Caenorhabditis elegans: one gene and its partner. The protein of the gene in region 1 purifies or fractionates together with the protein of each later gene. This does not show direct contact. Each region holds a gene or a part of one and is shown in the gene's direction. Other genes may lie near its edges.

What was found.
Region 2: the proteins of nob-1 (region 1) and gmn-1 purify together in Caenorhabditis elegans (affinity purification with western blotting, with the first as the bait; one study listed by BioGRID). This does not show direct contact.

Annotation. Positions count from the first base shown.
Region 1 is NC_003281.10:12,082,050-12,085,974, reverse strand, and holds the start of nob-1 (Homeobox protein nob-1), read left to right. Parts: upstream 1-1,658; 5' UTR 1,659-1,712; coding exon 1,713-1,900; intron 1,901-1,944; coding exon 1,945-2,153; intron 2,154-3,925. UniProt on the Caenorhabditis elegans protein: Transcription factor, involved in posterior embryonic patterning, morphogenetic movements of the posterior hypodermis, and cell fate specification. Binds to the 5'-TAGT-3' motif in regulatory elements of genes, including Meis protein psa-3 and microRNA mir-57.
Region 2 is NC_003281.10:12,223,364-12,227,288, reverse strand, and holds gmn-1 (Geminin homolog), read left to right. Parts: upstream 1-1,957; coding exon 1,958-2,203; intron 2,204-2,359; coding exon 2,360-2,656; 3' UTR 2,657-3,401; downstream 3,402-3,925. Other genes in the region: Y75B8A.19 (RING-type E3 ubiquitin transferase), read right to left, coding at 576-621; Y75B8A.18 (Clathrin light chain), read left to right, coding at 1,096-1,170, 1,220-1,369, 1,426-1,575; gphr-1 (Golgi pH regulator), read right to left, coding at 3,455-3,658. UniProt on the Caenorhabditis elegans protein: Inhibits DNA replication by binding to the DNA replication licensing factor cdt-1. Its interaction with cdt-1 prevents the cdt-1 loading of the mini-chromosome maintenance (MCM) complex onto DNA and therefore DNA replication licencing.

The DNA of each region.
Region 1 (3,925 bases):
TCTAAGCCTAAGTCTCACGATAGTTTTAGGGTCTCAAATTTAAATAAAAACCTGTATCTAAAAAATCAAAACTGTTCTAAAAAAGCACCCCCTGCTCTACTTTGACAGCCTAAAACTCGGTTCGCTTTGGTTTTATCAAACAATTGCAAACGGACAAAATAAGTGCAAAGTGTTTCCCTATATTTTGGTTATTGCAAATTTTTTGGTAAAACTGAAGACAGCCGAGGTATAAGCCGCCACGTGGTGTCAGGCTGTCCCATTACGGTTTGATCTACAAAAAATGCGGTAATTTTTTTCTCAAAAAATGTGACGTCAGCACGTTCTTAACCATGCAAAATCAATTGAGAACTCTGCCGCATTTTTTGGTAGATCAGCGTAGATCAATCCAAAATGAGACACTCTGGCACCACGTGTGCGGGAAGCTTAAATACTCAAGCTTCAGGGGGTTTTTTAAATTTCAAATCTAAATCCTCTTGACAAGAAAAATAGAATGACCAGAAACCGAAGCGAGAAAAAAGAAAAAAAAGTGGCGACCTCTCTTTCTCTCTTCCTGTCCATTGACTAAAAGGCAAATCGGATCGGAAGGTAATCCAGTCGTAAAATTGGTGGAAGGTTTCCTATACTAAAATTATATCATAGAATACGGAGTGCAGGAGGTCGGGTTTTTTTTTCAAATGAATTGATATAATAAAATTGAAAAAAAAACGCTCAAATTTTGTATCATATATATGGGAATAAAAAGTTGATATTTGTCAAAATCATGGAATTTGCTTTTCCCTTGCTTTTTGCACTCAACTTGTCTCTCCTATTCATTCTCTGTTCCCCGCCCGCCCCGCTCCTCGCCGCCCAATTCGTCAGAGGGGTACGGTAGACAAGTGGGTGGAGCGTGCGTGTTATGTAGTGTCCTCCTTTCTGCTCCTCGGCCTCATCACCTTTCACGGCCCCCCGCCCCTTATTCTCTTTATAGTCTCTTTGGTGTTTTCCAACACAAGGGGGAAAGAGGAAACACCTTTTTAATGCGTTTATAAAACTTTTTTAGTGCTCTCTTAATCTTTATTACTTGTCTCGCATGCATGTTTCAACATTTATGTTATTTATGTGCCCCCCCAGCTTTTATTTTATTACCCTCAAAAGGTTTATGAGGTTTAAAATTATTTTATTGGTGCTTAAGGTTTTGATTGCCGCGTTTGTCGCCGATAAATAATAATTACTGTTATAAGCTTATTTACTAATTAATTAATTTTCCGCGTCAAAATCCTAAATATATCGTAGCTAAAGCTTTATATCTAGTTAGTATGGCCCCCCATCAATCGACTTTGTCGTCTTATATTTCAGCGGTTTCATAAGATTTTTGATACCTTCAAAAACCAGAGCATAACTATAGATTTGAAAAAGATATTGTCGTTCGAGTTTTTGACATATGATCAAAAAGAACCGAGATATAAGCGTTCAAAGTCGAGTGAGGGGGGCCGTACTAATAGGAAATATACGGTAAATGACTACTGTAGCTCTTACAAGCCGTGCTAAATTCATTTCAAAAATCGAGCCCGTAAATCGACACAAGTGCTACAGTAGTGTTCAAATATAAGCTTTTTAAATTCTCGTTTTTCTTTTCCTTACTTTTTCAAGCTCAATCTCGCAAAGTGCTCAACTTTCAGGTTCAAAAACAGATCTCCAAACCCAAATAACTCCCCAAGCTGCTCATATATGGAATGATTTCGGTGATGCAACAAATGATTAATAACGACTCTCCAGAAGACTCTAAAGAATCTATCACCTCTGTCCAACAAACTCCATTCTTCTGGCCAAGTGCTGCTGCTGCCATACCGTCGATACAAGGAGAAAGCCGTTCGGAAAGAGAATCTGAAACTGGGTCGAGTCCACAGCTAGCGCCGTCTAGGTTAGTGTGAAGTTGATTTGGCAAATGACATCTATCATTTTCAGCACAGGAATGGTTATGCCTGGAACAGCAGGGATGTATGGGTTCGGACCAAGTCGAATGCCAACTGCCAACGAGTTTGGAATGATGATGAACCCGGTCTACACGGATTTCTATCAAAATCCGCTGGCCTCAACTGGTTGGTACTCATACGGACAACCGTATCAATTCACAGCTAACTACTCCATTCCAAGTCTCGATGGAAATTTAAGTGGTTAGTTCCAACATCTCACTTCTATTATGTCATTGTGCTCTTCCATCTGCCCGCCCACCTCCGCATTCCTCGCTATCACTAGCTTTGATCTTACCGCCGCGAGTTGCAAGGGTAGGAGAACACGGTTTTCTGCTCCGTAACTCGGAACTTTCTAAAAGATCATAAGTCAATTCGCAGCCTATTTGGATCTCATTCCTTTCCTTTTCCGCATAACAATCATAAAATTATTAATTACCGTTGAGACCTCCCCCACCCATAAATTTCGCCTCGCCCTTGCCCAATTAGTAATCGATATCAAATCACACACGCGCCTTCAATTCCTACCGTACCACTTTATCTTCCGATCATCTCTTTTTTTGTTCGTCATTCTTCCTTATATAGAATCTTCTTCATTTTTTTGCCCCCATACAGTAATCGGAGAGTGCACTCTCCTCGCGGCGCCAGCGGCGACCCTTTCAAGTTGTATATGTGTGTGTGTGTGTATCGACGACGTGTATAAACACGCACTGGCGACACTCTTTTTTTTTTGGAGAAAAGGCAAAAAAGGAGAGGAGAAGACTATATCGATAACAGACACTTTACATCAGTTTTATGGTACGGTAGAGAAGGGGCAAAGTGTCAGAAGCTGTGGTTCTAATTATACCAATATCGATTTTTTGTAAGGTATGCCGTATTTTAATGTCTTATGTAAAACGTAGCTTTTAGGATTTAGGTTTTTTTCCTGAACTCATTTAAGTTTATATATTAGCTATTTTCGCTTTTACGGTGATTTGCTTGAATTGCTCAAACAAGTATAGGTAACTCGAATATGATAACTGCTAGCAAAAAATTTCCAACTAACAAAATGTTGCTGTTGATTTTTTCCACATCCTTGATATTGCCATAATTACATAACTTTGTTTACAGCAACTGACATCCGGCGGGACTGTTTTTTCTTTAACTAGAATAGAATTACTAAGTACCCCATGACTTTTGAACTAGGTGTGTATAGCAGTTTATACTACCGTATATTTCCTATTAGTATGACCCCCCCCCCTATCAATTGACTTTGTCGGCTTATATTTCAGCGGTTTCAGAAGATTTTTGGTACCTTTAAAAACCAGAGCATAACAATAGATTTGAAAAAGATTTTGTCGTTTGAATTTTTGAAATATGATCAATCAAAGAGAACCGAGATATAAACGGTCAAAGTCGAGTGAGGGGGGCGCCATACTAAAAGGGAATATACGGTGCACTTTCAGATTTTTTTTAATGCTGGAAGTTGTGAATCACCATTCTCAAATAAAAAAGATCAAAAACCAGTGTAATAGAATCTCAAATCTCAAACCTCCCAGCAACAAATCAACAGTCTATAAAATAACTCAACTTGGCGCCTTATGGTACTTTTCGGGGGGGCGCTATACATGTCCCTATCACTCATTCACAAATTGCCTTTTCGCCCAAAATATTTCGTTTTTCTCCCCGTCTCTCTCGCTTGCTGTGTGTTATCTCCATTTTCGATTTTACGACTCCGTGTGGCTGCTTGGCTTCGTCCCGCTCCCCGTATTTGGAGAGGCAGAGAGACTCTCTTTTTTGGCGTCACGACGACTGCTGCGCAAATTTTCGGATTAAAAACAGCGAGTGGAGGGGGGGGGCAGCCCCCATTTCAATTAGGGGAAGGACAAATTGAGATACGGTAGTTAGGGATGGGCGAAGATGAGGGAGAAAGAGCTGGATGGGGATACGACAGACATGTTGGAGCCTTCTTTGGAATGTTCTTTTGGGATCGGGAA
Region 2 (3,925 bases), 140 kb from region 1:
GGGGATTTTTTTGCGCAAAAATTACTGTACCAGGTCTCGCCACGACAAATTTTTGTTTTATGGAAAAGGTATGCGCCTTTAAAGGTTACTGTAATTTAATACGGGGTTCAGGCCTTCCTCATTGAATTTTTCGCGTGGAAAAGTGTCGTGTACTCCTCACGGACTATAATCGAGCCGCGATGCGACACGCAACGCGCCGTAAATCTACCCCAGATATGGCCTGGCCTAGTTCGGCAAAAAACTCTTCCATTTCAATTTATGGAGGGAAGCCAGAAATCCGATTTTTTTTAAAGTTTGTTTAAATAAAAAATTTTTAATTTAAATTTACTTGAAATTGAAAAAAATCGAAAATCCCGCAGCAACGAAAGTTTAAAACTACAGTACTCCTTAAAGGCGCACACCTTGTTCAATTTAACTAAAAATTGTCGTGTCGAGACCGGGCACCGTAGTTTTGGCGCAAAAATCACGAAATTGTATTACTTTCAATCTTTTTCGACAAATTTTGTGTAAAAAAGAGAAAATTTTTGGAAAATCGAGATATTTTTCAAATTTCTTAAGAAAAAAAAATTACAAACCAGGCATCACTTCGAGTAGGCCGTCAAATTGGTGTTGCAACACCATTTTGAACAATCCTGTTCCGCTCATAGAATATTAGTTCTGTAAATCTTAAAATTAACTACATTTGTGAATGAAAAATACGATTTTTTTAACGATTTTGGGGTTGGTTGGGGGAGGAAGTTGGCATTAAAATGGAAAAAAAGTGAATTTTATATACTATTCTAGTAAAATAAAGTTATGGTGTATCGATCGATTTTTTAAAGAGCAATTTAAAATACAAAATATACGATATATTGTAAAAATGTTGTAATTAATCATTTATTGGTCAGATTTCATTCAGAAACTAACAATAATTTCTTATATTATTCGAAAATCTCTATAATATTGCATGTAATTGCATTTCAACGGAGCCGTGACGTCACGCGGCGCACTCGCGCTCCACCGCACTTCACCAATGGCGGGTGTTTCGAATCTAACACCTGTCTCTCAACACCATTTTCACCAATTTCTAGCCAGTTTTTATCGATTTTTCTCGAGATGAGTGATTTTGTAGTGCTCGGGGAGCCAACAACCAACAATTTATCCCCAGAAGTCGGATGTCAGACTGAAGAGGTAAGTTTTTTTCAAAAAAAAAAAAAAAATTGAAAAATATTTATTTTAGATTGCTGTAGAAAATATGACAACACAGACAGCAGAGGAATCGATTACAAAATATCGAAAAAACACGGAAAATCCAGAAATGTCGTATTGGGAGTCAATTGTTGCAAATCGACAGAATGAAGTGGATCGAATTAAAGCGTTGAATGAGAAGGTTTTATTTTTTTCCAACGCGATATATTAATATACAGTTATCGATTGATTTTGCAGATGGAAGTGGAGAAAAGTCGAAAATCGGAGATGCTCGACGCGAAACAGACTGAATACACGCGACTCTTCGATTTGGGAAACGAAAAATTGAAAAAATCAAGTGAAAACGGCGATTCCGAAGAAGAACCCGACACGAGCACCTGTAAATAATTCGGATTAATCCGGATTCTTCTAATTTTGCTATAAAAATACTTATTTTTCTGTATAAAATGCATTTTTGCTCCTTGTCGATGTCTTTTTTTCATTTAATTTCTCTGTTTTTATCATCAGAGCTGGTTATTTCTTCTTTTTTTTGTATTTTTTCATTTAATTTCTCCAAATTGCACCGAAAAATCGATTTTTGGGGTACGGTAAATTTAAAGGCGCAGGGTTCGAAATTTAATTTCTCGTGCTTCGTGGCGAGACCCTACGGGCCTAGGGGCCCGCGTAAATCTATTTTTTTGAATTTTGAACTCAAATTTTCACCATTTTTCGCCGCAATTTCAATTTTTTCTGCTTATTTTTGTGTAATTTTCAACAAAAAAAATTTCAGATGAGCAGAATCGGCCTTCAACAGCTCAACAACTCGGCACGCAACAGTCCATTTGGCTCCGAGAAGGCCACCGGCACCAAGCAAATTCCAGAACCGCTGAAGCTCACCGCCCAACTCAAGAAATATCAGCCAATCACACCGTCCCCGCTGGCTTCTGCCACCACAATCACACCGGTTTTATCTCCATTCGACGTGTTCTGTGATGATGATCAAGAGGCAAAAAACGTGGAGACGCAGATGTTTGAGGTATGAAATGATGATTAAAAAGATTTATCGGCATAAATATATCTACAATGCTTTGTATATTATCGCTAATTCATCAGAACACGAGAAAGCAGCTGGTATAATAGATATTTATTAAAACTTTGAAATTTTATTTTAAAAAAATCAAAAAAATTGCAGTACGGCACAGTGTCCACGCAAACGATCATCAACGTCCCACACGTTCAACCAAAAATCACAGAAGCCGATCTAACATCTGAAAAACCAACTGTAAACTATCTTCGCGTGATGGCTGACCGTCTGCAAATGGATCTGGACGATGAAATGGACAGAAATCAGCGTCTCGTCGCCGAACTCGGAGATCTCGACGAAAAAATGCGAAAAATCGACGATGACACGGAGATTCTTCTCGAAGTGCTCGCCGACATTGACGAGGAGCAACAGACGGATGAGGAGATTGGCACCGCGCAACTTTAAATTACTATCCACGCTCTCCTCAAAGCCGAATAATTATTAGAGCGCGCTTGCTACGATTCGCGTTTCTGTGCCCGCGGTGTTTTGCCTTTTCATTGAAAATAGCAGATTTATCGAATTTTTAGCTTAAAATTTTTTTTCGGCTTTTTACGAACCAACCTTTTGTTAAACAGTGAAAATCGAATTTAAAATGACTAAAATGAACTTTTTTCGTTCACTGGCTGTAAAATGGTTTGAATTTGACGACATCAACGGGATTTTTCTTATTTTCTAAATATTTTTCAATTAAAAATCGGTTTTAATGCACTTGTAACCTAACGTTAGAGTCAAAAATAGTTTAAAACCGAATTCTAATCGAAAAATATTCAGAAAATACGAAAAATCCCGCTGATGTCTTCAAATTCAAACCATTTCACAACCAGTGGACGAAAAAAGTTCATTTTAGTCATTTTAAATTTGATTTTCACCGTTTAACAAAAGGTTGGTTCGTAAAAAGCCGAAAAAAAATTTTAAGCTAAAAATTCGATAAATCTGCTATTTTCAGTGGAAAAGCAAAACTCAGCCGACGCTGAAACGCGAAGCGTAGCAAGCGCGCTCGAATAATTATTCGGCTTCGAGGGGAGCGTGCTACCTCGTGTTTATATATATCTTGTGTATTTACTTCATTCCTTTTACGAGTTTTACCAAATTTCAACGCAATTCAATTTTAAAATGTTTTTTTATCAAATGAATTTCAAATTCTATGCGACCCGAAGTTTAAAATAATTTAAATACCAGCAACAAAACCACAAAAACAAATAATTATGCCCTAAACATTGAAGAACCGGATTTGTGAATAAGTGTCAAGAAAACAATAGAAGAGACGGCGGATATTAGGAAAATCACGTCGAACCAGCGATGGTAGAAGTTGAATTTCAAATCGCCGAGAATTCTCGTCAGAATCGTTCGATACTCCTCGGGCACGTTCATACGCATTAATAGGACGCTCGAAACGAAGTACATTCCCTGAAAAATTCAATTTTTTATTGAAAAATCGAAAATTTAATTGAAAAATTGGTGAAAAAACTGTTAAAATGCTCTTGAATGACTCCAAATTTTCCCCTGATTCCGAATATCTATGTGAAAAAATTCGAACAAATTTCCCTGATTTTATATTTCACCTTGAAATCGCGCCCGAATCATTTTTTTCAAATGCGCGCTCACAGATATTCTCATTGGAGCGCGCTTGCTTCGTGACGATTTACGGGAGCTTTCCGTTTTTTAAAATTTATT